Schizosaccharomyces pombe: one gene and its partners. Changing the gene in region 1 together with any one later gene gives a genetic interaction. Each region holds a gene or a part of one and is shown in the gene's direction. Other genes may lie near its edges. The genes, in order: ers1, abo2, hip4 and ani1.

Region 1 (9,258 bases):
TTGGGCAGATTGGCTATCTGCTAAAGCCATTAATTTTTGAAATGATGGGGTTCCTGCCATTTTATTATGAGATACAATCAATTCTTAATAATCCTCCTCAAAAAACCATAAATAATCAGTACAAAAACATGATTACCCTCCTACATGCAATACGATGATGGTTTCTGGTAAGTCGCACACATAAGTTTGATACCCAAAAGCTAAGCGATTGTGCAACGTAACGATATATACAGTACCCCTTTATTTAACTCTAAGAAATTTTATAGGGTAGGGTTTACGTGACTGTTTATAGTGACCAAAACTTGTAGCAGGAAACACTAGAAAAGATACGTTTGACCATCACCAACTACGGCATAAAATCCAATACACAGCATGGCCGAAGAACATGATGAAGCCGTTCGCGTTGCCGAACTGAGAAAGAAGAGAAGTTTCCGTACTTTTGCTTACCGTGGTGTTGAGCTTGAGCAGCTTTTGGATCTCTCTGCTGAGCAATTGGTTGATTTGTTCCATGCCCGTGCTCGTCGTCGTATGCTTCGTGGTCTTGGACCCAATGCCTCTCGCTTCATCCGTAAGCTCCGCAAGGCTAAGACTGAAGCTCCTCTTAATGAGAAGCCCGCCACTGTTAAGACCCATTTGCGTAACATGATCATCCTTCCCGAGATGGTCGGTTCTGTCGTTGGTATTTACAACGGTAAGCTCTTCAACCAAGTTGAGATTCGTCCTGAAATGATTGGTCACTACTTGGGTGAGTTCTCTATCACTTACAAGCCTACTAAGCACGGTCGTCCCGGTATTGGTGCCACTCATAGTTCTCGTTTCATTCCTCTTAAGTAAAGAGATGCAAAAAGGCGGGTTCAATGGATGGTTTCACTTCTATCTTATTCAATAATTTCTTTGTTTGGACTAACGTTGTACATTCGCATAAAAACCTAGGTTTTTTCAAGATATCTAAATTTGGTAGTGAAAGTAACAGTTGTAGAGCTGCGTGTTCGTAAACATGAATTATGTAAAGAGAAATACAGACAGATAATTTTTGTATTTGTAAAGTAACGAGTGTGTATAGTTGAAGGAGCATGGAAGTGTAACACAGAGCCGGACATATTGATTTACTTGACACTTGAATCTGCAATTTGACAGCTACGATTAGATTGCTAGCTTCATGATGTTTTACAAAAGCTACTTGTCCCACTCTTGGCTTGCCATCTAGCTAGTGAACCTATGAGAATATTTTATCATTATATTTTGGAAACCATCATTTGTTTTTGTTTCTCAACTAGCTCGAAATAACCTAAATGGTACTACATTGTAAAAACCAAGCTTTCGTTTACGTTTTACCACCGTAGAGTATATGTACCAATTCTGGGTGCTTGTTTGTAAATCTGAATTTTTTTGTAAGCTATTAGTTTTAAGGATAAATAAATATGTTTAATGCTATTCAATATTAATGGTATATCCTAGGTCAACTTCACAATACACTATACTCTAGGGTTCATCCTTCATAGAATATTACTCTCTTCGCTATATCTTAGAACTGATATATGCACTAATTTTTTAACTCGCATTAGACGAGTCCTTTCTAAGGAGCTAGCTTAATGATTATGTACATAAAATCTTCATTTTAACATCATTCAAAGTATTCTATTTAGTCGCTCGACTTTTCGACTTCTTTAGTCTCCTGTAACTTTCTCAAAATTTGTCATTAATCAACCATCAGCCAAGGTCTGATTGATTTGGTCTTTTTTTGTTAAGTAATTAATTTTGGAAGTGCTTACACTGAAGACGTCTATATGCTCAAAAGTCGCTGTTAGTTTGTTGCCTTTGCGTGAACTTGCTTTGTTAATTTCAATACCATATTGACTTGTTTTTCGATCAGTATTCAACTGTTTTTATTTTAATCCTGATAATCTTGATTTAAATCAAATTTACTTCCTAAATGGATATTTACGAACATAAAAAATCATTCATGGAACGACAGATACGGCTGTTGAACCGACCTATGCGCCCTCCAAAGGATTGGAAACTTCCTTTAAAATCCGGTCAGCTTTCAGAATCAGTCGTTGAAACTGTATTCCAACGTACGTGTTCCATGCTTTTGTCTGGATTTCTCCTACAAATAAAAAGTTCAAAATATTATTATTAACCAAAACAGGATTGCAACTTCGTATCCAAAAGCATGCAAAGCTAAATTATTCACATCAAGCAACTCAGCATGTTGCCGCTCAAATACGAAAGTTATATGAACAAAATAGCGCTATTGAGGACATTACCTTTTTAAATCCATTATTTTATGGAGAAATTGATTTAAGCAATTTAGACAGTGTAAAATCACTTCCCCATCCATGGCCTTTTCAAAAAGAATCCCGACCTGTCGAAAAGGATGAGGAGCAAGAGAAGTTCAATCGTCTTACGGGAGAGTTACTTGGTCTATTAACAACGTTGTCAGAATTAGAACAGGAGCGCTCTGAACTTGAGCAAATCGAAAAAATGTTGGAACCTTTTGAAGATGGGCCTTCTTCAATACATACGAATATGTGGAAGAAAAACCCTGAATTGATATCAACCCTCAACAGTACGAACACCATGGTAGCTAAAATTAATTCTCTTCTCAGAGGGGTTTCATTTCCTTCTTTAAACAATGACAATCAGGAAGCGTCATTGGAGGACGAAATCAGAAGCCAATTATTCGAAAAAACTATTTCTGATGATTAAAAAACTTTTCGTAGAAATTGAGAGGGAATGATGTTCATGAACTCCTATTGCATCTCATCATCTGCTTTTGAAATAATGACTAATACTTAATTGGAGGAGAGGGTGCCTTATTTCCTGGTTTAAGGATTTTATTGACTCTACTAGAAATGTTGGGGCTATAGAAATAACTTTGAAGCTTCTACTTTACGTTCAGATATTTATTGGTTAATGATTTCCTAGCTTTGGGAGGCATTAAGTTAGTTGATAAGACAACACATTTTTATTTACAAATGAGTGTCCGCTAAACAAAATACGTTTCTTAACAATTGTCTTAGTTTTATTTTTTAGTTTACAGTGTTTCTAACCTTTAATGAATCATTACAGCTTATAATTCAAATACTCAGCTCTCGATTGTAAGTACGTTAACATTAATTTTATCACAATTATAATACCTACATACAAGGAACTATAGATTTAATTATTTTTCTTTTCTTCTGATAATTCATAAAGCTTTATATTCCTAATGAATTCATATTACTTCACTTATATTCTGAAGCTGCATATAGCATGTACCATCTGTAAGCTCGATGAAATGAGTGATGGGTAAAGTATCTGCAAACAATCAATCTGGTAAGTCAATGTGTATCATTCTTTTGCTAATATTAGGATTTTTTAAATTTTATATCGATACAGCGTTGCTTTTAAATGCTGAATTTATATCCTCCTTCACAAATTGTATAAAGTATGGTTTTGCGCAAATGGACTATTACTGATGATATAGTTCTGAATATAATGGAAAAGTAAAAATTTCTTACTCTTCTTCATCTCAGGTATTTTATATATCCTAGCTATTGACGCTAATAATTCAGCAATTCAAAGTCATAGTGTACGAGGAACACAAAAGAGAAGCGTTTAGTCTGTAAGTTCCATGCGTTCATCCTAAATATTATTTTAAATATTAATTAACATGCTAGTTTTGAGGAAATAGTTCAAAAGTTGAAGCGCGAATCAACTGTTTACAAGAAACCACGCCTAGATATTCATCCATTCGGGCAATTGCATTATGATTTTACTACTTTATTGAATTTTCAAAGGTACTTAGACTTAGGATACGGTATTGAAGATGTGAAAATAAAAGAAAATGAGGACATTGTTAAGTCTAAAGTGGGCAAGAAACCGACATCCTCCGATTTTTATATTCCTTGCTTGATAAAACCTAAAATCATTACTCCTTTTGAATGGGAAGGAAATTTTAAACAGGTCATTTATTCGCCTACTGTTTACAACGGGAGTTTCAAGCGATTATTTTACCTTCCCGACAATAATGATTTGCTCAAGGAGTTTGCGCATGCTACCAACACAAAATACAAGGCTTCTTTAAAAGATAATGTATGTATTTGTGAAGATACTTCTACCATCCTAACTTTTGACTAGAAAATAGTTGTATTAGCCAATAACGATCAGGACATTAATGCTATGTTGGAGAAAATGAAGCATATAGAGAATTTAGTGTCCCAGAAAGTCTATGAATATCCTGAAGAAACTCTTGTTTATGCAGGAAAGATTGCACCCTGCCAACTGAAATTTCTAAAATTAAAATTTGAAAACGAGATTTTATACACAGCTATGCATACGACATCTATTTTCAAAAGCGTTTTCAATATCCTTGGATCTTTTTATACTATGAGATTATTGAGAAATAAACATGATGGTGATTCTTATGAGTTGGTACCAGTTTTTGCTAAAAATCCTTCCAAAACCCCTCCCTGTAATGATAATTTTAAAATATTTTCTGATGATATAAAGCTGATAGGATGTAAAATATTTGCAGGTGTTTCTTTAAACTTCTCTTCTCCGAAACCAGCGCACAGATTTTACGAGTTAAATAAAACTTCATCCAATTTGTCGATCCCAGTCTTACAAAAGCCGTCAAATTTTCATTCTTCGTCAACCGAATTATCTGATAATTCAATTCATCAAGGAAGGAGAGCAGTTGATCCTGTTGTTAACCAGAATAATCCGTCAAATTTTGAAGAAATGATTATGAACAAGTTGAATAAATTACCCACGATTGATAAGCAAATTTTAGGAACTTCATCTTTGACCCATTTCCAAGATAAAACAACTGCAATTGAGCATTCAATTAATAAGTCTAATAGCAAGCAGCCTCCTCGGTTCAAATTTCAGCTTCCTCCTCGACCTACGAGCAATACTTTACCATTGGAACCTGAAGAAGAGCTGGTTACTAGATATTCTGTTTCTTCGGATGGTAATACTGTTGACGAAGCAATAACTAAACAGTCTCAGACTTTTCAATTGGTCAATTCAAATGAATTTAATGAAGTTAACGCTAATGATGTTCATAAATCTTTGCGACAAAATTGCGCAAAATTGGATTTCGACGATTCAAAGTCTAAAAACCTATTAAGTGTAGAATGTTTAGAGCTTGACAAAGGATCAGATTGTTCCACTCCAAAATCTGGCAGCTTAACTCCTTCAATTGACATGAAGTTTTTACGTTTACAAGATGAGAAAATGGACGACCTTGGTGACAACTATTATACAATTCTAATGTCTTCCAATCCGGTATCAAGCTACGGTGTGGGAAGCTTATACTTATTTCAACCAAAAATAGTATGCTCTGAAAAATACATTAATCACGAAGAGATTGACAACATGAATTTGAAATCATTGCACAGATGGTTATCTAGAAGGTCTGTGGTATTGACTAAATATGTAAACATAAGTCTAACACTTTGTTTAGCTTGCATGTACTTCAATCCTTTTCAGGTGAAATTGAATTGAATTTAGAGTATGCGTTTATTTTTGAATAAATATTAATCCAACAGGTTTGGCGTCATACTATATCCAAATATCTCATCAGATGTGTCGGCTTGTTCACATGGTTTTATGAATATATATAAGGATTTGAATCTTCCCCGATCATATTTTGCAGACTGGTAGGTTGAGTCTTCATATGTTATATTAACCTTTTTATAAAGCATTACCAAATCAGTTTCGAATATCGATTCATTATTGAATACTCCTGTGAAAATTTTGTTTGGACGTACTGAGTATACTTATCCTTTAATAGAGCATGAAGTATTAGATTCAAAGAATTACTTTGTTTTCAAGGGAAGTTTATTATTTACAGATGATAAGAGAAACAAGACAGAGGATTCCACTGTATTTTTTTCGATGATTTGTTCTTCAAAGTTAGATCAGTTTGCGTTTTATAAAGATTCTAAGCAATCTTCTACTTGCACTATCAATTTTCCTTTAGCGTATGTTATGAATGTTTTTAAGGAAAAAAACAACTAATCATGACTTATAGCTTATGGGATTCCCGTCTACGTATCGAAACGAAAGTCCCTTTAAATGATGCGATACTTACAGAGTTCTCCAAAAGTATTAGATTTAGGTATGTCAATTTCTGAAAGCTTCGACTAATCAGTTGACTAGAAACGTAAATAAGGATTTACTGTTAGTCTTTGGAAATATGGAAGACAGAGTAATAATTCATTCGGTCACAAGAATTAATGAAAACTCTGTACCTTTTAACAAAAATTTACTCCCTCACTCTCTAGAATTTATATTAAAATGTTCAAAAGTTAAGAGCTATGACATTAGCCCGTCATCTATTAATTCCAAAGAAGCCTTCGTTTGTCTCGACAGATCCAAGGAAAGCAAACCTATAGAATCCTGTTTCAGTCTAAGTATACAAAGTGTGTACATGCAGTCTCAGTTCAAATATAATAACAGTATACGCGCAGGAGAAACGGCTCCGTGGAAACTTGCAAATAAACAATTCATTGGTGGGGCTATTACTGAGAATGTTTCAGACTTGTATACTGCAGCAATTATTATGGTGAATCAATTAGGGGGGATACACCCTACTATTTAATTAATTTTATTTATGCGTTAATATCAATTTTGTTTATACCACTTAACATAAATAACCCCTCAAACCAAATTCTTAAATTAAAACAATGCGAGGACCCATTTAAAACGAAACATATAGAGTCAGTTTCATTTACCCGGGTTCTCCAATGCATCCAATTCCACTGCACGCTCGCGCAATTTATCGTATCCTTTCAATACACCTCTCCATTCGGAATCTGTTCCATAATTGATATTTATCAACTCTATGTCCCTATTTATTTTTCTTAAAACTTGAGATATTTTCTTCCTATGATTGTTGGGTTCATCAGCTACACTGAAAACTTGTTCAGTAAACAATCCAAGCATCGATAAAACCGTTCTACAAACTTTTGAAGCAGACGGAGAGTTGGATCCATCTTTAACAACTGGGCAAGCGTCAGACCACGAGTTTCTAATGAATTCTATAATTCCAGGTATTAAAGGATATATTGTCTGCCAACGGAAAGTAGGGTTATCGACAAGATCGTGTTTATTTGGATTGAATAGCGACAAATATGCAAATGAACAAGGAGATCTAAACGCCTCGTATTTCGGATGTATTACAATGCATTGTTGCAAATAGGGATACTTTAAATGAACGGATGATTGTTGATTTTTTGCTTGTAACTTAGGGTTCAAACCCAATTGTAAAAAATCGTTACATACAGTTAGGTGTCTTATCATGTTAGCGGAAGACTTCTTTGAAAAGCTAGTTGTTCTCTTCACAGAGGCACTCTCTGAGTTCCACCCGAGAAGGTTTGTAAAGCACTCTAATGTTTTCTTCCACTGTAACGAAATTGCAGAGGAACTTAGCCGATCTTTACAAGCATTGATGAGTAAGGAGAGAAACTTTGTAGAGTCATTCCGTATTGAAGGAGTAATATGAGTCATCCCTGAGTGTGTGTAGAGAAATATCATTCCAATGTTCGGTTCCAGCAATTCTGGCCCCATTATATATATAAATTTTTCAAGAAATCGATATAGACAATCTCGTACCGATGAGGATTCATCAAGTATCAAAGGCGATGTTAACTTTAACAGCAGCGCTGTCGACGTCGTCAAAATGCTTGTATGAGATAAAACATATTGTGTAAGCTTTTCCAACGTCTCTTTAACATGTTAGCAAAAGATGCATAAGTTAATAGAAAATTTCTCTTACCCTGCCGTTGATTGGCATTATGATGCTTTAACATTCCTAAAAGATGTGCAAAGTACGCCTGATCCTTAGCTGTTGTATTGAAATCCTCCTTTTCTAAAGCTGCCTGTGTTGGAAGTACGAGCGCTAGATGTTTAGGTTAGTTATTTGAATAAAAATTCCTTTTGTTCATACTTTTTGTTCTGAATGAGGTATCGGTAAAATTATTTGGTGCATTTTTTGATTTTCCCACCTTGAGTTTTTGTTTCTAAAAAATCAGTTAATACAGCTATTTCCGACAACAATTTTACATTAAAATCAGCTCTTTTAGCTTTTGCTTTCTTTGATTTACCCATATTTAATATATTGTGGAATTAATTGTACAATTTAAACTTCGTACTTTCAGACAACGTTACGTTTGGTGGAGTACCCAAAATGTAGAAAATGTGAGTAGTGCCTAATGTAATGAAATGAGAAAATTTTCGATTTGTTAATCCAAGTCGTTTTGCAACAACACATTCATTAATAAAAAATTTCAATTTAATCAAAAGATTTGCATTTTGTATGTACGATTAAAAAAGTGTGCTGATGATTGAAAAAATTAATGTTTAGTTGGCATTGTCATCTTTCTTCCTATTTAGCCGTAAAAATCCAAATGCCTTATGAAATTGCTCCCTTTCAAGTTCGAATGATGACATTTTTGTAACAGCTGGCATTATTTGAGTGCTAGTAACCGATACGGTTTTGTAAATTTCAGTTGGTTCTTTTTCATAGTAATCATGTAATTTCATATTCACTGCCTGCAGTTGCAAAACTTTATGCTGTAATACATTTAAACTCTTTTCCATTTCACAACTATGAGGCAGTGGAGTATCAATAAATGAACTGTTGTCTTTAGCGACACCATAAGGAAATGTTAGTTGATAAAGTATAAAAAGTGTCATCCCCGTAAAAGTCAGAAACACTAGGAATTGCTGCAAACACTTTCGAAAACTCGAAGGTGCTTCATTGGTTTTATTAGTTTCAACGACATTAGTTACAATAGGTGCACCATCAGGTATAGGTTTTTCCGGTAGATAAGATAGTATTAGTTCAGAAACGTTTTTAGCTTTGCAGCCGAGTACTAATAAGCTAGTGGGTTGATCTAGAGTTTTTTTAGAATTTTGATTGGCATATCCAATTAGATAATAAGTGGTAGATTGTATATTAATGGTCACTGGCGTTAGTATGGGTGTATTTAAAACTGGAATTGGCAGTTGTAAGCAAGAAAAGTTTGAGCTTTTTTCATAGGTTGGTTTAATAGTCCAACATAAATCAAAAACCGAAGTAGGTTGATCAGCTTGAATTAGTACAATGTCGTTGCGAGGAAGAAGAACAATTCTTCCTTCAGTTTTAGGATAGCCATTAACTAGCCCCCAGTTTAAAAGTGAAGACTTTGGTTGTTTAATAGTTAACAGCTCAGTTCCCGGTTTCATTGAGGAAACAAATTTCAGGCTAAGCATTATGTTAAAGGA
Region 2 (9,722 bases), on another chromosome or scaffold:
TTCTTCGTAATGTCGGTTCTTCCGTTTTCCAACAGTTCCTCCAAGAACAGAACCATATTCTAAATGTTCTTTGTATGTTCTTTTGAGATTTTGAGCTACAGTATCGTCAAAACTGGTAACTGACCCAAACTCGGCTCCAAAAAGAGTTTTTGATGTTCTAAGACTATTTGTAGTCAAAGAAAGTACATCTGTATCATCCGATATGTTTTTTGCTTCTGTCATAAATCTGTTAAATTTTTGGTAGAGGATTTGTAGGTAGATGGCAGTTGGACTGACTTATTTGAAGCATCATAATCCACGAACATTAGCGAACGAGAAATATTAAGTACTAATATTTGAGAATAAAGTAGCTTACAAATGAATTGTCAAAATAAAAAAAGGGATGGTTATCAAGTAATAAAAGTTTGTAATATATATACATTTATTAAACGGTCTAGTTACGGATTATTAATAACATGATGTTCTAAAAGCGATAGTAGCAATAAATATATGGAGAGGAGGAAATGATGGAAAGTAATTAATTAACCCTGAATTTAAAAAGTAAATCATGCACAGGTAGTCTTGTCTAAAAAGAAAAAAAAGAAGCGGTAGAGAGGATTTGTGTATAAGTCAGGTAGTACTCAGAAAATACAAGTCGAAGAAAAGATAGATCAAAACGGATCATTGTAAAGCATTCAAAATTGAATTAATGGCCCATTGGACGTTATCTCTCACAGACATTTTACTAGAAGGGCTTAACTGTATACGCTTATCAAGCAATTTCCCTGTCACATCGCCATTGACAAACAAATGGGAATGACCATGTACATAGCCAGGCCAAACATAATTTTCGAAATAATGTGGGGGGTCTTGCCAAAATCCTGGAACAATTTGGAGTTAGCCTTAACTGAAAGGTACAACGATTAAACACAGGTGTTATGTTTTATCTGGATAGTTGAATTCTTACCTTCCAACGTTATATAACCAGTACGGGCTTCTCTACGACGCTTAAGCGTATCAAAATCGGTCACCAGCATCAGTCGAATATCAAATGCGTTTATAAGGTCTTCATTAACGTACATCATAAATCCGTCTACGAAAACGAGATGCTGTTCCAAAGTTGGAATGGCCGGTGCCTTGAATTCTTTAATTATATCAGCGTATTCTATTAGGGCTTCAGGAGCAACATTTTTATTTTCCCTATTTCGAAGGTGAGTAGGTAACACGCCATGATCACGGATATAATGCAAATTTTCAAGGAAAGCGTCTAAATTCAACGACTCTTGGCAATCCCAATCGGCAATGCCGTTTTTGACTGGTATCTCAGCATCAGTCTACAAAACAAACGAGTTAGTATATCAATAGGTGCTTTGGCACTACATAAAAACACAGTGTTTGCTTCATCGATAAGATTCAACCATCGGTTTTTAAAACGAGGGTACGATTTATTCTATGACACTTGCAAAATTCGCACGACTAGGCAAATAGACGAAATAATCTAAACGAACCTTGTAAAAATCATCTTCATGAACGAGAGAAGATCCTTCAAAAATGGCATGTAAAAGCTGGCATAGAGTCTGTCAAAACAAGAAAGAGAAATTGGTTAGTACTTCATTTTTTTTTTATTTTGGAGTTTTTGATTTTATTTTATTCTTTCTTATTAATCAAAATTATCATACCGATTTTCCACTACAAGAGGCACCACTAATTTTTTCTTGTTAATAAAAATTCATTAAAACAATTGCCTGTAGAACTTACCTAACCCCAACAATGATAGTTTTCCGAGTCATTCTAATGATAATATGGAAAAATGAAGGTAAAAATTGAGACAAGAAGCCTGGACAGAAGCTGGATACTGGAATTCGGTCTGTTATATTTGCACAACACAATTAATTAATTACCAGCCAAAAGCTGTAAGACAGGTTAACCGAATTTTAAAAAGAATTTGGATTTAAACAAAGCGCCTAGTATCTTAAATCAAGCTCGATGATTATTTGTTATGGAAATAAACGAGAATTTTAAAAAGATATGTGGTAAAGAAGCCGAATCCACAAAATTTTATAACAACCAACAAAACTTTTAGATATACAAGAACAAGTAAAAGATCACTTATAACGATTTCGCAAGTATAAGAAAATGGAAAAAGAAAGGAGTATACAAATTCTTTACGGTATAAATGGAGGATTTGAAAGATAATTTAAATTCACCAAATATTAACGCTTTCGAATACGTATAAGAATTTTTATATGGCAAATATGCCCGGTAAAGATTAATGGTGTTTTGAGTTATTGATCGTTTAAAACAAGAGTGAAATAGGAGGAAGGCTGGAGTTGGTAGTATGAAGATATGGTTAGTAGTATAATCAGTCAATAATACAAGGCTTTGGATGATAGCAATATACTAATCCGCTCCCGTCATGTATCCTTTACGAAAAGATAGGGTAGATAATAAGAGTAAAAAATACAATTTTTGTTTAAAATATATATATTTTTTGATTAGATAAAAAAAAGTGGTTCACTTTTTTTATTTATTTAGCCAAAGTATGTAGGAAATTGGAATTCTTTAATTGTTTTGCGAAAATTATTTTATTAATTATTGCTTTTTCCTTTCAAATTTGTGATAAACTATGTCTGAATAATATTAGTTTGCTATTTTCATTTTTTAAGTCGTTTTAATGTCTTTTGCTTATTGTTTACATTACACTTACTTAGTTCTACGGTAGCAAAGTTTTTATCAACTCCATGAAATGCGAATATTTCGATGAATTTAAAAAATATATGTATATTGGTTGAGTTTCTTGAGGCCTTGTTAAACGATTTTTGTAGTACTACACTTAGTAAATATAAAATTTTTTAACACTAGGTGTTTGGCTTCAGTTTTCCAATTTGACTAGCTTCAATTGCTTTTCCAAAAAAAAAATAAAAAAATAAATAAAATATAATAAAGCTATAAATTGCATGTAAATTGGATGAAACAATAGAATTAGTAATAATAATAAATACTGAATTCAAACATTAAGGAAATTTAAGGACACTATTTTAAAAATGAAATCAATATTGATCGAATTTCAATGGATCTGTATTGAATGCCAATGTAATTAGGAAATTAAAAGACCTTTTGGTTTAATAAAAAAATAAAAAAAGCCGTACCGATCTCTACCTTTGTTCATTATATCAATCTAATATGAGACGTAAAACTACGGATTATGAATAGTAAGTTTTCAAAGAGATTATAAAATAATACTCTTTGCATAAATTCTTCTCATCCTTTCAATTAACAGCGAAACGACGAAACACTGACAATCAATTAAATAAAAAAAAATACTATATCAGTGAGGAACGTCAAGTGAAGCTCAAGATTCGAAGTTGGCAATGAACTTTTATCCTCATAGAATTTCAAATCTATCCACATGTCTGTAAACAATGCATCAATGTATGGATATTACCAATGTACTAAACTGATCGTGGACAAATAATCTCAGAAAAGTCAATTTTTAAACAATATTGTTTTTGTAAAGATACTACTTCTGTTGTTTAGTCCAAAAATCCACTTACTCTACTATGTGCTTTCCTTTTCTTATAACGCATTGTTACGAACTTCATTTATTTACTTTTCCTTACAAACCTTCCATTCGTAAACCAGCATGTGGAAAACCTAAGATATCCCAAATTTTTTGGAGCCTTTAATTGTGCAATTGTAAATAAAAAATCTACATAACAAATTGTCTTAACCAAGTTGACAACGTCTTAATTTGTTGGTGCCAGCAGTGCATTTTGCGTGCAATGCGCAGAAGGGCCAGATCCATTCGTTTTAGTTCTGACGATAATGAAGATAATGAAGAAGATGATGATTATTACTCCAACGCACACAGCGAAAAATCAGAGGATCATTCAAATCATATAAAAGTTTCACATTTTGATCCTTCCTCCTATAAACAAAAGTTAGTTTCAGTGCGTGAAACTCAAAGAAATAGAAAATTCTCTTCGTTACAGAAACATCTAAACACAGAAACGCCTTCTTTTTCTGTTTCTATAGAAAATCCTTCAAAGCCTTCTGCGGCATTCAATGATGCATCATTGGGAAAGAAGAGTACTGAACATCAAATTGATGGTATCAGAAATGGAAGTAGTAACCTTCAAATGGAAGGAAATGATAAAGAGCTAGACACTGATAATAATGAGGACGAATCCACTACCTTTAAGGATGAAGAAGACGATTTGATAAGTCCGAAATCATATCTTACTTCTTCAAAAACCTTTTCGTATCCAAAAGCTCCAACAGAATCAACAAATGGTGATTATTTAGATGAAGACTACGTAGATGGACAAAGTGATCCTGAGTCTTCGAACGCCAGTGATTCTGACTTCGCGGATAGCCCTGATGATTTGACAAAAGTGCGCTCACCCATTCCAAGTAGAAGAGGACGTAGAAAAAGAAAAATGAGAGGTCCAATTTTGCCAGTTAAAAAAAATTTAAGGGTCAAGAAGGCAATGAGTCCTCTTCGCGCTGAGCGAAATTCACCAGATTTCCGACGCAAACTTCGTAGTCGTGACAATCGACCGAATTATCATTTATTTGACTATTACAACGAAATTGCATCTTCCCCAAATCCTTCAACAACGAAGATTACTTATAATCCGCCAAAATTGCCTATGAAAGATTTTGCTACTCTTCCCATCGGTTATCAAAGTACTTGCGATAGTGATGAAACGAGTGAGTTGAGCAGTACAAGTTCAGAGCAAACTTCCGACGTTGAAGGACTTAATGCTTACAATAATTTGGGCGCTAGTTCAGATATTGAGAATGCTCCCTCCTCTCAACTTCACTTTGGTCACATAGACGAAAAGACGATTAGAAGTACTGACCCTTTTGCCAATAGGGAAAATCTTGATTTCAATTCCATAGGAGGACTGGAAGATATTATACTTCAACTGAAAGAAATGGTGATGCTTCCTTTGTTATATCCAGAAGTATTCTTACATCTGCACATCACACCTCCTAGAGGTGTCTTGTTTCATGGTCCTCCAGGGACTGGAAAAACACTAATGGCTAGGGTGTTGGCCGCTAACTGCTCGACCAAAAATCAAAAAATTAGTTTCTTCTTGAGAAAAGGGTCTGATTGTTTAAGCAAATGGGTTGGCGAAGCAGAAAGGCAACTTAGGCTTTTATTCGAAGAAGCTAGAAGAGTACAACCCAGCATCATATTCTTTGATGAAATAGATGGGCTTGCTCCTATTCGATCTTCAAAACAAGAGCAAACTCACAGTTCCATTGTCTCCACCTTGCTTGCTTTAATGGATGGCCTCGATACGCGTGGACAAGTAGTAGTAATTGGTGCTACTAATCGTCCCAACGATCTTGACCCGGCCTTAAGGAGACCCGGTAGATTTGATCGCGAATTCTACTTCCCTCTACCAAATAAGCAAGCACGTATGAAAATTCTTGAAATCAATTCTTTACATTTTTCTCCAAAAATACCAGAGAGCTACTTATTACACTTAGCGGAATCTACGTCTGGTTATGGTGGAGCAGATTTAAAAGCTTTATGCACCGAAGCAGCCCTTAATGCAGTTCGACGCACCTTCCCCCAAATTTACACATCTTCTGACAAATTTTTAATTGACCTGAATGAAATATCCGTTAGCATTTGCGATTTTGTAGTCGCATCTGAGAAGATTGCTGTTTCTACACGAAGAAGTGATGTTAAGCCGAATATACCTATTACGGATTCCCACAAAATTCTGTTTAAGAAAAGTATTGAGGTTATAACGTCAAAAATTAGACGACTATTAAAACTTGACGTATATTTACCAACGGTCGAGTCTTTACAAAAACTTCCTGCTGAAGAGTTGATGAGGCAAAAAGAAATTAACTCTCTAAAAACTACCATGTCATTCCGCCCAAGACTATTGATTACTGATATTTATGGATATGGATGTACTTATTTAAGCAAAGTGCTTTTCTCTATGTTAGATGGTATCCACGTGCAGTCTTTGGATATTTCTGAGTTGTTAATGGACACAACCACATCTCCGAGGTCTTTGTTAACCAAGATATTCTCTGAAGCCCGAAAAAATGCGCCAAGTATTATATTTATCAATAACGTAGAAAAATGGCCATCTCTATTTTCACATAGCTTTTTGTCAATGTTCCTTCTTTTATTAGATTCAATTTCCCCTTTAGAACCTGTCATGTTACTGGGGTTTGCTAATACTAATCAAGAAAAATTGTCGTCTACCGTCCGCTCCTGGTTTCCTTCTCATCGAAGCGAATATCATGACTTGTCGTTTCCTGATTATTCATCAAGATACTCTTTTTTCCATTACTTGCTTAAACGTATTTCATTCCTTCCCATTCACCAAAAGAGCGCCGAAGCAGCAAGCGTTGATATTTTACCCAAAGTACTACCAGTTTCTAAAACATCAGATTTAACCGACAAAGTAAACCGAAGACAAAGAAAGAACGACAAGAAAATAAAAAACAAAATTCAGGTTAAACTTAGCTCAATACTTGAAATGCTTCGCTCTCGTTATAAAAAGTTCAAAAAACCGATAATAGATTTAAATGACATTTACATTGATGAGTCGAACGAAAGGGTGGTAAAAGGAAAATCGAAGGATAATTTTGAGTATTTCCTTTCAGGAAATACAGTCACTCGTAAAAAAGACAATGCTTGTTTCAAAATGATGAACTTTGAGGAAATTGAAAGACGCTTATGGAGTGGACGTTACTGTACTCCTAAAGAGTTTTTGCGTGATATCAAAATGATCAAACAAGATGCGATCCTGTCTGGCGACGTGAACCTCAAACACAAAGCCAAAGAAATGTTTGCGCATGCCGAATTAAATGTTGATGAGTTGATTGATGCAAAGCTGTTGTATGATTGTTGTCAAGTCTCCAAGAGGGAAAAGGCATATAAACAACTAAAACAAAAAAAACTGAACAATGCAAAGGATGCTCATGAGATGCAAGAATCAAAGAATGAAGAAACATTTGTGAGAAACGATGTTGCACAAGAAGACAATTTCATTGAGCTTTCGTCAAATGAGGTTCGCAACGTTTCTAATGATGAACATAAACATACTTTATTTCATGGACAATCACTTACTCATAACAATTTGATTGCTGTCACTCCACCTAGCAGGACTGGTGTTGAACACAAAGAAGAGAACAAAAAATACGATAACGTAAATATTCAAAAAACCTTGGCAAAATGTGCAGAGGAATTTGCTGAACATACCAATTTTAATAAGGTGGAACTACTAGATTTTGTTTATTCCAAATTGTCATCCACTATTTGGGAAAATCGTGAGGAGCATGATCTTCTTAAGATAGTTCGGGATGTAAGACAAACTTTCTTTCGGTCGCTTGAGGATATGGGTGTTTAATGAAATTTTGGGTTAATGTGTCTAAGCGATCTGTTAGTGAGATACAACAAATCTAAATGATAGTTGGTAATGAATGAAAGCTCACAATAAAAGATAGGAACCACGAAAGAAGATACATTTGAAATTGAAAAGCTAATATCGGTTTCCGATGACACAGAATAGTACGTCCTTTGAATTACCAGCATATTTTCCATTTGCATTTAAAAGATAGTAAAATGGACGATCGCGAATTTTCAGAGTGATTGGGTTTTTCTGTAGGGAGTAAGTAACGATTGATACGTCTTTTCTTGGAACAATTAATGATTTAGAAAAATAAAGCTTGTTAAATGGTGATAAAAATCCAGTTACAATTTCAAACCGTTGGGATGGTAAGGTAGAAATTGAATAAATATTTCGTCTTGGTAAAAATAAAATCAACGTTAAAGTAAAGTAAAGAGCAGGAGTAATAAAAGCAGATCCAATATAAGATAATTTCTCGTAATAATCCATATCGACCCAATTGGCAAATATCTCATCTTTTGCGCGATATATGTCAACACTGGCAAAAGAAGTAATCACACAGACATTTATAAGCATCCCGACAGTTAATAAATAAATAAGACTGATTTTCTTATCTGCTTTTGCTTGATATACAAGAAAAGGCTCCCGAGTTGTCATTGCTTGCCAAGCAATTTTCGCTGGGGTTGCATTCCGTTTTGAGGTAATATCTTTCAGTATGTTAGAGTTATGGAATTTTTTGATGGGCGGCTTATTAAACACTCTCAATATTGATATTTCCGAGAAAGACTTCTGAATTGGACGCAATGACCTAAACATAGGATTGAACATATTTGTTGAAACAATTCGAGACAACAACGCCTTATGCCTAGCAACACGTATATTAAAGATTAGCATACTCATAACTTCGCAACATGAAAATGTTCAATTGATCAGCTTAACCCTTTAATTAATTAAATTACCCGTGTAAATTCAAGGGTGAAGAATTGAATGTAAATACGTGTAAACATTTTAGCAAATGTTTTACGCATTCGAATAATACTTAGTGGATTATTGTCCGTTTGATATTACCAAATAGAGAATCCCAATGAGAATATTTAAAAAAATAACGCACTCAACCACGATGAAGGCAGCAGCATGGAAAATGCTGAAAAAAGAAATGTAAATGTCAATTATACGGCTGAATAGTCAGACGTTTTAACAAGCCGGGTGTAAAAATTTTTTTGATCTATTCAAGCGCTGCTTTATTTTTATAAAATATGTACTGGCATTGTTGAAAGCTGACTTTTAGTTCATCATGAACAAAATAATATATTTCGGCTTTCCGAATCGTTAAAATGCAAGAAGTAATTAATGTTACAAAAAATTAAAGATGCCATTTACTTCAACCACTCCTCGTCTATTGTTTTCATACACAAATGAAACGGAAACCGTGTAACCTTGCTACATACTTTTAATACAATTAACACTTTACGGACTACGTGGAAAGTGTAAGACAAAAGCAGAATAGCATAAGTCCTTTATTCATGATATAAGTGCTGAGAACGGAGCTTACTCATCCAAGCATATAGACACACAATGCTCTTTTTTTTTTAAAGAATGCTTGAATGGGCACACGTAGCCGATGTACTGAAGGCATATTTACTAACTGATTCATTACCTATAATTTGAGTTAGTCTAACCATGATAGGTCATTAGTTAAATGACTCGTATTTGCGAAATAGAAACCAAATATTATTTATGATGCAGTAAACGATGAATAAATCCAATAAATGAAAGATTTAGAGATTGAACTTTAACGAAATAAGAAGGGCTTGAGGAAGATGCGAGGAACTGGAAAAGAATGATGTGTAAGAAAAATAATAGACATTATCAAAGAAATAGGCAAAAGGTCAAGCACAACTAGTTGAAGGCAGTCGGTTAGACGAAATATTAGAATCTGTAATACTAATGCAAAAAGAGCATACGGAAGAGAAAGTAGTGAATAAAAGAAAGTCCAAGAATTCGTGGTACTACCACAAGGATATAAGAAGCTCAAAAAAATGGAAATGCAATAGAAAGAAGAAATCATCAAAGGAATGAGAAAATAGATACGAGAAAAATCCTTCAACAAGTTCTTATTGAAAGTAAATGAAATCAAAAATACTCAGTTTTTCTTCCTTTGCTTTTCTACTTCAACAGCTGATAAAATAGGATACCCGATGAAAAGCATTAACAATCCACAACTCAGAAGAATTAAAGTCAAAATATTTACAAATCCACGCAAAGTAAAAATATTCAAATCGCGGCCATCATAGAAATCTTCATTGTGCAAAATATCATCGACTTCCTTAACACTAGGATCCCATAAAAGTGTAG
Region 3 (7,493 bases), on another chromosome or scaffold:
ATGAGAGATGTCTTTTTACTCAATGATCACAGTGTTTAAGGTTCTTGGTGAATTGAATTTGCCCTAGTTGGTTATTGAGTCTCGCTTTTGTATAGGGATCTACAAACTTAAGAGCTTAAATTATTTAACGAATTTAAAAGCCCACCTCAGCGTAAATTTGCCAACAGTGCTTCAAAGAACTGTGGTAAATTGCGTTATCTATCGTTATAGCCAGACACTCCATGGGAATGTACCTAATAATGCAGTAAATGAACATTTAAACAACATTTTTGCTTCTATTTATAAAAATGGTTTTGATTAAAATGCAAACAAATTTGCTTTCCGTGGTCTTACGTAGATTATAATACTAAACAAAATCTCCGTGATACATAAATATATACATTTCGAGGTTATCTAAATATACTGTTTATACTTATAATTAATGCAATGCAAATGATACTGCAATCTAACGTGTCACTAAAAAAAACCGGCAATGACAGTAGCCGAGTTTAGGCTTTGCAAACGCTCGTTTACGTTAACTAAGTTTAGGAAATATTAAACGATTCCCCAATTTTTAAAGAAATGTAAATTTCTTTTTCAGTTGAATAAGTAGCTGTATCTATTCAGAGGCGATGTTCTTATAAGTATAGATGGAAAAGTCTTCCATAAAGAAGGTCATGGCAGAAAAACTTGAAAGTGTTCGAAGGAGCGATTTGTGGTACTGTTGCTTGTTGCTACGGTGTTTTGTATTTACAGATGAATGAAAGTATATATCAATATAGATTCATAAATGTGAAATCGTTTTTTTGAAAAATTCTGACAAATTTTTTTTTATAGTATATATTCAATCTTATTCATTTCTAGTGTATGTAATCCACTTTAAATATCATCAATGATTTTGAGTGTTATTATTCATCGGCGTCAAATTATGTTCGCATCATTAATTTTTCCTGTATACATAAATTTCATCATACGTTCAAATTAATCGTTTAAAAAGACTCATTATCCAATAGCTTTATTATCGTTTCGCTTTACAAAACACGCAAAGCCGTTTTCGCCGTAGATGTAGCACTTGCAGGATTGGAACCAGTAACTAATCTTCCATCTGCTATTACAAAATCACCGAATGGGTTTGGTGACTTGATAAAGTTGGCTCCTGCATCATTCAACATATCGTCCAAAACCTCCAAGTTGTATTTTTTCAGCGCTTCCATAAGTTTGGATTTATCCTCGGCCACCCTATCGAAGGCGGTAACATCTTTACCACAGACAATTGAAACAGAGCCGTCGGACGTTTGACGCTTCATGAATGGAAGTAATGTAGGACCATGGCACACGGCAGCTACTACTCCCCCATTTTCATAAATGGAAGTACCAAGTTTTTGCAAATTTGTAGCTTTTGGAAAATCAAATAGAGTGGCATGTCCTCCTGCTACGAAGAAAATGTCATACTTGTCAGGATTCACTTCGTCGGCGGTTTTGGAATTTTGCACAATCCTCCAAAACATATCATCCTTATTTTCCAAAACATATTTTTCAGCTTTGGATAGCTCAGGGCCACTTGCGATGTGATCATCATAGCTCAAAAACTCTTCACCCTTAGATCCCTTGTCAATTGCCGGACCTGCTACTGAATGATCATCGAATTGGATTTTCCCTGATTCAGTAACAATGTCAACATTGAAACAAGCATCTCTAAATACCAAATAAGGATGTAACAATTCTAAAAAAAATGCTCCAGTATTCTCACCATCTTTATAAAATGGTCCATAATAATCAGAGCAAGCAATTAAGACATTTCTAGTTTTAGCAGGCATTTTTGAGTTAAAAATAGTTTGTATAGTGCTTTACAATGTATAACTCCTTGAAGACAGAAAGAGTTCGATGAAATTGTTTGGATTTTCGGTGAAGACCATCCTTTTATGTCTTTTTTTTGGACTCTAAATATTAGTATTTCTTCGATAAATTTTCGTTTATCGGTTTTTTACGTAAACATTAAGTAAAGTGCAACGTCCACTGATTAATTATTTCCATGTCAGTTACAGAAATTTTCTCCTTAGACGGCATAGCTCTTTTCATTGCCTATTGGTATTCTAGATGCAGCAAGTTCATATAGCTAACGACTTATTTTTTGCTAATTCACCCCTAAACTTGTAATGTGGCTACGAAATGCATTTTGCATCTGGTTTGTTCGAAATTCCGTATGACAGCAGGAGCAATGCGTAGCCAAGTATTAGTGATGAAAAAGGCCAGGGTCTCGTACACTGAGCAAATAAATTCCTCGTACAATAGCAGGTTTGCGTATTCACATGTTTACATTCTAAAAGTCGAATAATAGACGAACAAAATATGTCTGAAGCACTGTTATAATCACACAACGAAAGAAAAAGAGATGTCGGGTAATTTCTGGTTCACCGGCTGAATCAATAATTCGTTAACTTTCTTTAACAAATGTGTATTCGACATGAATTTTTCTAAAAATCAAAAAAATGAACTAACTACCACTTCCTGCTAAATTTTTAATAAAAGGATGGTGAGTTGTAACGAAAACCACAATATACTATAAACCACTGCTGTATATGTTTTGTTGGCACTAAAGCAAACGATGGTTTCTTTTTGCCTTGGTAGATCAGGAGTTGTAATCTAGAAAATTACGAATAAAAATATTCGTTGAAAAAAAATTCCTAGGATGTTATGACTTTATTCTTCGATAGAGTCGCAAATGTCTATACTACAATGAATGCGACCTGCAGTAGAAAGGGAATAACGAATTGGGGAGCAGCTAGCTATTTAGGAGAAATGATTATGAGAAGTAAGCTTATATTGAGTACAATTTGTTTATTAAGAGCTTAAATGATTAAAATGACAATTTCCCATTCATACAGTTCTGTAGTCATGATACTGTGCACACATGAACAGTTTTCTTTACTTAGTAGTGGAGTATTGATAAAGCAATGCCAACTGAATACCCAATTTCCATGAATAAAGTTTTCCTTAAAAACAAAAAATTCAGATCAATTAATCATTTTCATTCCTTTCTTTCCATTGAAAATCTCCAAACTCATATATACGTATAGTAATTAGAAATGATAATTTATCTCTTCATATAATTAATAAATTTACCCTATATATAATGTAACTTTTTTCTGTGTACCACAAGCTTCTGTAGCTCAGTCGGTGGTAGCATCCCTCTCATATAATGACAGGGGAAGGTCGTGAGTTCGAGCCTCACCAGGAGCATTCTTTTTTGCCCTTTACTTTTAAGAAAGTGAGGATTGCTGCGCTAATGTTGTTCAGTATAAGTTGCATTATAACGTGCTATTTACTTGATCTATCCCCATACTGTGGGAATTGTTCGTACTCGTTTCAAAGTTATTACCAAATAAAGTATTACTTTACCATCCTCCTAATCAAATTATTGTTTATCATTTAACCACTTTGCATTTTTTGTTGCTTCTAGTTCAATCACTTGTTGTTGCACTCTCTTATAGAAATTTGACGCAGCGTCGCAGAACTTATCATTTATTCAGTTACAAAAAAGTGCAAGCGTCCAATTTCTCATTTTTTGGTCTGCAGTTTGTTTCTTTAATGCTATCAACTCTTAGCCTTGTTCAATTGTTAAGAGTGCTCTTGAATTGAAAATTTCTATTAACTTATCCATTGGATTCAGTGAAACGACGGCACTAAGTCTTGGACTCAATTGTAATTAAAACTACCATTTTCGCTTGTTAGGATTACTTTTCCTTGCAAATTTTTTCTTCTACGTTTTCACTATACTTCGCTTTTGTTCGTCATGTCGCTTTTGTCTGGCGACCAACGAATTATTTGCTTGGAAATTCCTTTGCAAGGCAAAGAAAACGTACATATTAATTTTGCAAAAGAAGTGGAAAAACTTTATGGACCCTCTGTTCAGGAGAATTCAAAAAAAAATGATCTTTCAGACTCAGCGGATTCTGAGGGCGAAAGTACACATGTTGATGAGCAACAAGCAGCTAATGGGGCGGCCGATGGTACACAGACCATAAAGAAAAAGAAAAGGAAAAGGAGGTACGCTGACGAATACTACGATAGAACAGATCCCTTTATTGATGATGCTGAGCTCTACATTGAAGAGAAGGCTGCCGCTACCAAAGATGGATTTTTTGTATTTAGCGGTCCACTCGTGGCCGAAGGAGATACTGTGAAAATCGAAAGATCAAAGAAGACTAAGAAAAAGAAGAAAACATCTTTATCCAATGCTACACACCCTGCGCCAGCTGTCTCTGCGGTGGTGGCTTCAGCGGATGCTAGCTTTGACGATAGTAGGGATATTGAATCTGAGGACGAGCAGCCATTAAGGACTTTGTCCATTGAAATGGCTGCTAAGAATGCTTTAAAAGAGGCAAAACGGGAAAATGCAAAGGTTCCCAAGGATGTCTCTAAGAAGGAAGCAAAAACAACGAAAAGCAAAGAGAAAGCCACAAAAAAGACATCCTCTTCAGTGCCCAAACAAAGTACGGGAGAAAATACCAAAAAGGCTGTTAAACTTGAGACACCTCTTACATCTACACCCCCTATACCACCTCTCTCTGAACCAAAGCATTCTCCCGCTACTGTTAATGAGCACATTTCTCCTCCAAGTGCTTTAACTAATCCTTCTACGGAGGAACTCAAACCTTCGACCTCCCTACCTATTGATCAGGGCAATGCTTCTGTCGTTTCGAAACCTACTCAACAAGTAAGCATCGTTCTTTCTCAGAATGCATCCTTACCCGTTGATGAACATCAAGCTGAACCAGAGAAATCAATTCCAACTAGTAGCATCCCATAATTATACATATGTAGTGACCTGAAGATCTGTCAATCGATTTCTGTATATTATTTTTATATCATATTTTTTTCGTTAATAAAAAGCAATTATCATCACACCGCATTGATTATCTATTTCTTTTTTAAGGCAGAATTTTGTTTCAGTGTTACTGTTTGTATGAGTAAATTTATGTATTCATTCATAATCAAATGACAAAAAAAGCTATTTAAACCCAAACCTCCTTGTTAACCATTAAATCCCAACAGACCAGTATAATTTTTGAACAAATTTAAAGTTAAGCGTCTATTTTTTCTTGGATGGCTTCTTCTTTTTTGGTGCCTTCCCCTTCTTAGACTTTTTACTTTCTCTACGTTTTTTCAAATTTTCTTCTCTACGTTGCTGCCGCATTAACATTGCTTTTTTTTCGTTGTCCTTCCTTTCCTTCCAAGCGTCTGAAGACTTTTTCTTTTCCTTTTCTTTGCGACGAATGCTCTTTTTAAGCAATTGCTCGTTATCTTTGAGTTTTTTCCCTTCTGCCTGAAGCAAAACTCTATGCCATTTATCACTTTCTTCAATTTTTCTCCTTTTCTCTTCGTCCATGCTTTCAATACGGCGTTTCTTGGCTTCCAAATGCTTTAGAGCGCCAAAGACATCAGTAGGACCTCGCTTTTTTCCGGCAACTTTTAGTTTACCATTCGAGAATTTGTCATCTCCGACTATTAAAGTACCATAAGTAATAGTGCTCTTGTGGTTGTCATTTTCCTCGTCAGCAATGTTATCAGAAGAGTTCCCAGTGTCATAAGCTGCCACTTTTGATTCCTGTTTAGCCTTTGACTCCTTTTTAGCTAACTTCTTCGCTTCAGCACGAGCTTTTGCCTTTTCTTTTCTGCGCTGTAAAAGTAGAGCACGGTCTACTTTTTCAGTAGCTTTTCTTTGAGAGCGAAATGTCTGAATCTTTTCAGCAAGCTTTGCTCGTAAGTCATTTTTTCCTTCAGTTGTTTCCATTACAGACCGATGATAAAGGAGGAATCACAAATAATGGAGAAAGAGGATGAAAATACACAATCAGAATTGGGTTAATAAACAAAATCCGATACAACCCGATAAAAATAGAAAAGGGATGTTAAAATTTCTTAAACGAAAAAAACTTTTGAATTGATGATTGATAATAAATAAAATGAAGCCTAATTACCCACGAACAAAAAAAGAGAAACCCGATAATATGGAGTTTGCGAATCCAAAAACAATTGCTTTGAAAGAAAACTTAATAAAAGGGAAAAAAAGCTAAAGTAATACAAAGATTCAATGGCTATTCAAGATTGAAAGAACGCCTTTTTGTAATAAAGACATGTACTTGTAGTGTGGAAAAGACTGAAAGAAAACCTCTATTTCGAAATTTAACGTAATACGTTATTGTATTTACCAAAAGTTTACGCGCCGTTATTATTGTTTAATGAAAAGGTGCATACCGTTAAGCGAGATAATGGGTAGGGTAATTTGTATTTAGTCCGCGCAGAAAGCCACAATATTGGAAAGAGTAAATAGTCTATTTCCGCGTTTATGAGTTTCTCTATTTTGTAAAAAAAAACATTTATGAAAATAATTTTCTATGTTTTTCGTTATGACTTTGATTCCACAGTCATACTGGAAAGGCTAAAGACGATGTAAACAAATACCTGAACCAAATGTATTTGGAAGGGATGCGATGATACGCAAGCATTGAGTGTTTTAAGAATATCCCTTATCCAAGAGGAACAAGATTGTTTTCAGTTGTTGGATTTTATCAAGAAGCAGCCTCGCATAATATAAAGACGGATGTTGGGTTCTGAAGAAAACGGCAATTCCGTTTTTAAAATCCCCATAAGCATGTAGGGCAGCATATAGGCCGAAATTAAACAAAAAAGAGGAACTTATGATGATAGAGGTCTTCTTATTTTGGTGAAAATGTACAATTTCGTTTTTCCTACGGAATGGAATTGAATTGCATTGTCGCAGTCGCTGTCTTGAACCTCATCCCTAGATACTTGCGAATTGAAATATTTATAAGAATGCGAAAATGATTTGAGCGTGTTTTTGTTCCATAATAAAATAGGAGTATTTTCAAATGACTCTTATGAAGGTTCGTAGGAAAAAAACCGTTAAAAAAAATAAACATAGTAAAAATACCAACTATCTATCCAGCACTATTCCAATTCTATCACACCCAGCGCGCATTCTCTTTCTTTCCCCAACTGGAAAATTCAAGTGCATAGAGTGTTGTTTTCCATGGACAGCATATAGGGACATTGGCCTAGTGAAGCTGGAAAAGTAATGCATCCACGCAGCATTTTTTTTTTTTTACATTTAATCAAAATTGCTTCTTTGACCTTCTATGCTGCTTTATTGCTAGGATGGACCGATGTGAGCTCAAGTTCTATACAATGTGAGCTCCACTACAGCTACTTGCATTAGGACCCCTATCTTATCAAAATCTGGTAACTTAGTGTGGTACTGTAAAGATGGGTTATGTGAAGACATATTTTATAATGGTATGCAGTTATATAATTATAAGCTGTATGGTAAAAAATGTGCCTTTGGGAAAATATTTATATTAAAGAGGTATCTCTAACCTTTTTAACATAATATTTTACAGCAAATGCTTTTTTGTTAACATTAGAGTCCAGACTAGATAGATGGTATGGGCGATGCTGAGGCTGTCAACAATAATGAAAATTTCGGCCTCGTA
Region 4 (4,572 bases), on another chromosome or scaffold:
CGTTTGTTCATGGCAATCTCATGATTATCGTTTACTTCATTTCTTATAGGAGTAGGTAATTCAACCATAAACAAAGGATCTAACTGGCTTGGATATTCCGTAATACTTCGCTTTTGCAACCTCAATTGCTGCTGTATATCAGACTGCATCGAAGGTGGTAATTGAGCTAGAGCACTGGAACTGATTTGAGAAGATGACGGCAGATCATACGGTGTTGATGGAATAAGTTTTGGAGACAGCTGCTTCTTTTGACTAATTATTTCTTTATCTTTACTTGATATGTCAACAGATGCACCTTTTAGCGACACTTTATTTCGAGAAGTTATGCTCTGTATAGAGCGGTAATCTTTTCTAATTTTAGAGTTGTCTTTAATAATTTTGAGAGCTTGTAATCCTATACCACGTACATCTCCTGGATCGACATTAATTGTTTTATACATTGAGGTCACCTTCTTCCATATTAAGTCAAACGAATTAGTAGCAGAAGTAAAAGTTGAAGATTTTGTAAATGAAGTGACTTCCCCAGCTCCAAGGTACTTTGGTGGACTGAAAGGGGCTCCATCAGCCCTTTTCAAAATCCGAAGCTGAATTTGATGCAAAAGCACTTGGCATTTACCCATTCTGGAAAGCAACTCATGAAGCAACCGTTTTAAGAAATCTATCCCATCCTCTTGAAAAACGAAACGAACACCCCAATTAACATCTACGGATATGGACCTCCGTGGGGTTTCATTATTGATTATATCGGTATCAATTCCTCTGGAAATATTGTATAAATGCAGACCGTAATTTACCCCAAAAGTCTCTTGAAGATTGAATTTTTCAATTCTTTGCAGCTGCCCAATAGTACGCACACCGTACAAATTAAAAAGTTTCTGCGCTTGTGAAGAGCCCACCCCTGGTAAATCTTGAACAGACAAAGGACTCAATACATCAAAAACATTTTCTATTGACAAAGAATAAACGTTGTGAGGCTTCGCCTTCCTAAGTGCAAGTCTTGCTAAGAGAACATTTGGGCCAATACCAACGCTAACTTCGCAATTGGTTTTCTCGCGAACCTGCGAGCGGATAGACTCGGCAATCTCAAAGCAATCTTGAAAAGATGAAACACTAGAAGTTATATCTAGAAGAGCCTCGTCTATACTTATAACCTTAATATAGTCGTGAAGTGTATTAACAAGGATAGTGTAAAATTCTCTAGAAACAGATTCGTATGCTCCAAAATCATAATCAACAACCCGTAATGAAGGACACAGGTTTTTAGCTGTTCCAACGTACATACCATTTTTTATGCCAAACTTCCGAGCCTCATAATTACAACTAGCTATTTCGGAATTTTTTATACCATGAGCAACAGCAACGGGCTTCAGTCGTAGCTCATGAGAAAAGCGTGTTGAAACGGAAGCAAAAAAGCAATCAAAATCAACATGAAGAAGGAAACGAGATTTTTTTGATTTATCTTTCATAATTGGACGAACAGGTTCAGAAGCAGTAGTCATTGCTTGGATTTCATTTTTAAAATCAGCTTTCCAAGTACTTAAGTGATGTAAACGAGAGGAGCTAAAGAAATTCTCAAGAAAATCTTGATTTTGAGTGGTTGAATTTCGGACATTGGGATTTTTTAACAATTGATAGTTGTGCAGTGAAGACGCTGATAATCCACTCAAATCATCTAAAAATCCCTTTGCTTTACTCTCTTTTGTTTTATCTTTTTCATTATCATGTTCTTCTTCCTGCGAGCTTGTTTGAATATCTTCTAAGTTACCTTCGGGTTGGCTAGGTTTAGAGGCGACAAAAGAAAGGGTAGCTTGAGCCGATGAAGCTTGAAAGGTACGATAATTTATCCACGGAAGAATTTTCTTCTGTTTGATGCAATCCACTATCCATTCTGGTTTAACCACTTTCTGATGCTTCCATTGGCGAGCTTTGGAAGGAGTGAGAAATGAACACACCAAATATGATATGCTTGTTTTTCCATCAACATATTGTATAAAAGTACCTCCATTTGAAACTATCATTTGCCGTAATTCGGTATAAGACGGCTTTGTATATCCATTAATCGCTATTGCAAGTCCATGAAAGAGATCAGATTTAGAATCTTCATCAATACTTTTGTATAGAGCGGCATTTTGATTTTGAAGCTTTCTTTGTTTCCGGGAAAAATAATCTGCATAGTCGTGGAACCCAACACTTTCGTATGCCTCATCGTTTGCTTCGTCAAAGTCTGCAATCCCTACTGGGCGTCGACGCTTCCTTTGATTAAAAGCCATCCAGCGCGCTTCTCACTTTCAGTAAATATAAGTATTAATATGTTTCTGAAAGGAAAATAATACAAATAATAATGTAGCCACTTAAGCGGAAAAAGTGTAATTAATAAACAAACAATGTTTATAAAGAAAAACTAACTGCAAGAGCTTTTTTCTTTCATTATTTAACCTTATCCCAAAACTCGTGAAGCCAAACTATTTCAAAGTAAAAAACAACGAAATATCAAAAATAATTACTACGCGTTTGTTGTGATGCACGCTCGTCCAAATTTAATTAATTTTGAGTATAATTTGCAAATCGCGGTAATACGCACTACCCTTACTTAATGGAATACACAACGGTTTATGTATCAAAATTTTTTACATCCTCTACCACCTCACCTCTTAGGCAAGAATAAGTCATGTCTCTTCCAATTGCTGTTTATAGTCTTTCGGTAAAGGGAAAAGATGTTCCCGCTGTGGAGGAATCTACAGATGCATCTATTCATTTGACTATGGCATCCATTGATGCCGGCGAAAAGTCTAATAAACCAACTACTTTATTGGTGAAGGTTCGTCCCCGTATCCCCGTTGAAGATGAAGATGACGAAGAACTTGACGAACAAATGCAAGAGCTTCTGGAAGAAAGCCAGCGTGAATTTGTTTTATGTACTTTGAAGCCTGGTTCCTTATACCAACAGCCTTTAAATTTGACCATTACTCCTGGCGACGAAGTCTTCTTCAGTGCATCTGGCGATGCAACCATCCACTTGTCTGGTAACTTTTTGGTTGACGAAGAAGATGAGGAAGAGGAAGAATCTGACGAGGATTACGATTTGTCTCCTACTGAGGAGGATCTTGTCGAGACTGTCAGCGGTGATGAGGAAAGTGAAGAGGAATCTGAGTCGGAAGATAATTCAGCATCTGAGGAGGATGAATTGGATTCAGCTCCTGCTAAAAAGGCACAGGTTAAAAAAAAACGTACTAAGGATGAATCCGAGCAAGAAGAGGCTGCTTCTCCTAAGAAAAACAATACCAAGAAGCAAAAGGTTGAGGGTACCCCTGTTAAGGAAAAGAAGGTTGCATTTGCCGAAAAACTTGAACAAGGACCTACTGGTCCCGCTGCTAAGAAAGAAAAGCAACAAGCTTCTTCTAATGCACCTTCTAGTCCCAAGACTCGTACTTTAAAAGGAGGCGTGGTTGTAACTGATGTTAAAACTGGGAGCGGTGCGTCTGCTACCAATGGGAAAAAAGTTGAAATGAGATATATTGGGAAGCTCGAAAATGGAAAGGTTTTTGACAAAAACACTAAAGGTAAACCCTTTGCTTTTATCCTTGGTCGTGGTGAGGTTATTCGCGGGTGGGACGTCGGCGTTGCTGGAATGCAAGAAGGCGGTGAGCGTAAGATTACAATTCCTGCTCCCATGGCTTACGGCAACCAGAGCATTCCAGGAATTCCCAAGAATTCTACCTTAGTTTTTGAAGTCAAGCTTGTTCGCGTTCACTAAATTTTCATGTTGAAGATGAACATACTTTAACTCCCGTGTTTAAGAAGATCGCGGATTAAACTATGTATTCTATTAACTCTTTTTATCGCCTATCTTTTTCTTAGGTTTCAAAAAAAATCAGGGTATCATTTTGTATTTGAGTTAGGAAATTTTTTTTTAGTTAAGTGTTACAAACACTTTGGATATAGGACTTTTGGATGATTTGGATTGTTGGGTGATAAAGGAGATATAATCAATATACAATTTTTTAGAAAGAGCTGTTTGTATGTGTATGAGCATTAAGAGAAAAGAGAATAGCGCTTCCTTGATCGATACTAGTTAAGGATGTTTAAATTATGGAATTTTGAGTTTGAGTAAATATAAACGAGAACATTCCGAAAAACTCTATTAAAAGTAAAAAAAAACATATTGATAATAAAAGAGCCATTATCTGATTATCGCTAAATAAGTCTACAAACAGCTGTTTGTTTACGAAATTCTTAAAATTAATTATCGTAATAATCAACTTAAAAAAAAACAAGCAGTTTTAGAATTTAAAGAATTATTTTTATTATTTGTCTTTTTTCTATATTGTTTATTTGAAAATTGTGCTTCTGTTTACAGGCAAATCTTAAGGCGGGCATATATTTTTCTGAAACGTAAACAATCAACATGCCCAAATCAAGCAACTTGAAAATGCAGAGAAAAGGCTCTTTAAGAGAAAACGGTCTCGTGAAGGGTTTAAATAAAAATAGTAAGATATAAATTGGTGTGATAAATAAGTTAATGACATAGAATTTTCGATCAGCAAGTTAAAAGAACTATCTCATGCAGATGAC

What was found.
Region 2: mutations in ers1 (region 1) and abo2 together harm fitness more than expected from each alone (negative genetic interaction), as found in Schizosaccharomyces pombe (2 studies listed by BioGRID).
Region 3: mutations in ers1 (region 1) and hip4 together harm fitness more than expected from each alone (negative genetic interaction), as found in Schizosaccharomyces pombe (2 studies listed by BioGRID).
Region 4: mutations in ers1 (region 1) and ani1 together harm fitness more than expected from each alone (negative genetic interaction), as found in Schizosaccharomyces pombe (2 studies listed by BioGRID).

The regions. Positions count from the first base shown.
Region 1 is NC_003421.2:797,910-807,167, forward strand, and holds ers1 (RNA-silencing factor Ers1), read left to right. Parts: upstream 1-3,248; 5' UTR 3,249-3,287; coding exon 3,288-3,318; exon of another isoform or gene 3,319-3,354; coding exon 3,355-3,430; exon of another isoform or gene 3,431-3,469; coding exon 3,470-3,518; exon of another isoform or gene 3,519-3,557; coding exon 3,558-3,607; exon of another isoform or gene 3,608-3,630; intron 3,631-3,662; coding exon 3,663-4,077; intron 4,078-4,122; coding exon 4,123-5,402; intron 5,403-5,451; exon of another isoform or gene 5,452-5,452; coding exon 5,453-5,500; exon of another isoform or gene 5,501-5,537; coding exon 5,538-5,648; exon of another isoform or gene 5,649-5,690; coding exon 5,691-5,972; intron 5,973-6,022; coding exon 6,023-6,109; intron 6,110-6,150; coding exon 6,151-6,592; 3' UTR 6,593-6,634; downstream 6,635-9,258. Other genes in the region: histone H3-H4 chaperone Spt2, read right to left, coding at 1-60; rps1501 (40S ribosomal protein uS19), read left to right, coding at 373-834; protein Fta4, read left to right, coding at 1,934-2,075, 2,150-2,709; rRNA processing protein Ipi1, read right to left, coding at 6,718-7,718, 7,769-7,891, 7,940-8,012, 8,056-8,100; protein mug4, read right to left, coding at 8,353-9,258. UniProt on the Schizosaccharomyces pombe protein: Involved in RNAi-dependent heterochromatin formation and centromeric silencing.
Region 2 is NC_003423.3:1,436,612-1,446,333, reverse strand, and holds abo2 (ATPase histone chaperone), read left to right. Parts: upstream 1-3,612; 5' UTR 3,613-3,761; coding exon 3,762-7,367; 3' UTR 7,368-7,499; downstream 7,500-9,722. Other genes in the region: Prp19 complex WD repeat protein Prp5, read right to left, coding at 1-222; nrk1 (nicotinamide riboside kinase), read right to left, coding at 661-860, 947-1,313, 1,488-1,556, 1,659-1,683, 1,738-1,769; SPOM_SPBP22H7.04 (uncharacterized protein), read right to left, coding at 7,500-8,267; actinomyosin ring linker protein Sbg1, read right to left, coding at 9,511-9,722. UniProt on the Schizosaccharomyces pombe protein: Probable ATPase which may play a role in nucleosome organization.
Region 3 is NC_003423.3:655,313-662,805, forward strand, and holds hip4 (histone H3.3-H4 chaperone, HIR complex subunit Hip4), read left to right. Parts: upstream 1-3,312; 5' UTR 3,313-3,772; coding exon 3,773-4,789; 3' UTR 4,790-4,919; downstream 4,920-7,493. Other genes in the region: hsp3103 (ThiJ domain protein, glyoxylase III), read right to left, coding at 1,011-1,796; rrp1402 (ribosome biogenesis protein Rrp14-C), read right to left, coding at 5,072-5,773. UniProt on the Schizosaccharomyces pombe protein: Component of the HIR complex, which functions as a histone chaperone that cooperates with cia1/asf1 to promote replication-independent chromatin assembly.
Region 4 is NC_003423.3:4,061,889-4,066,460, forward strand, and holds ani1 (FKBP-type peptidyl-prolyl cis-trans isomerase), read left to right. Parts: upstream 1-2,631; 5' UTR 2,632-2,668; coding exon 2,669-3,754; 3' UTR 3,755-4,072; downstream 4,073-4,572. Other genes in the region: deoxycytidyl transferase Rev1, read right to left, coding at 1-2,270; sporulation specific PIL domain protein Meu14, read left to right, coding at 4,406-4,487, 4,529-4,572. UniProt on the Schizosaccharomyces pombe protein: PPIase that acts as a histone chaperone. Histone proline isomerase that increases the rate of cis-trans isomerization at prolines on the histone H3 N-terminal tail. Proline isomerization influences H3 methylation thereby regulating gene expression.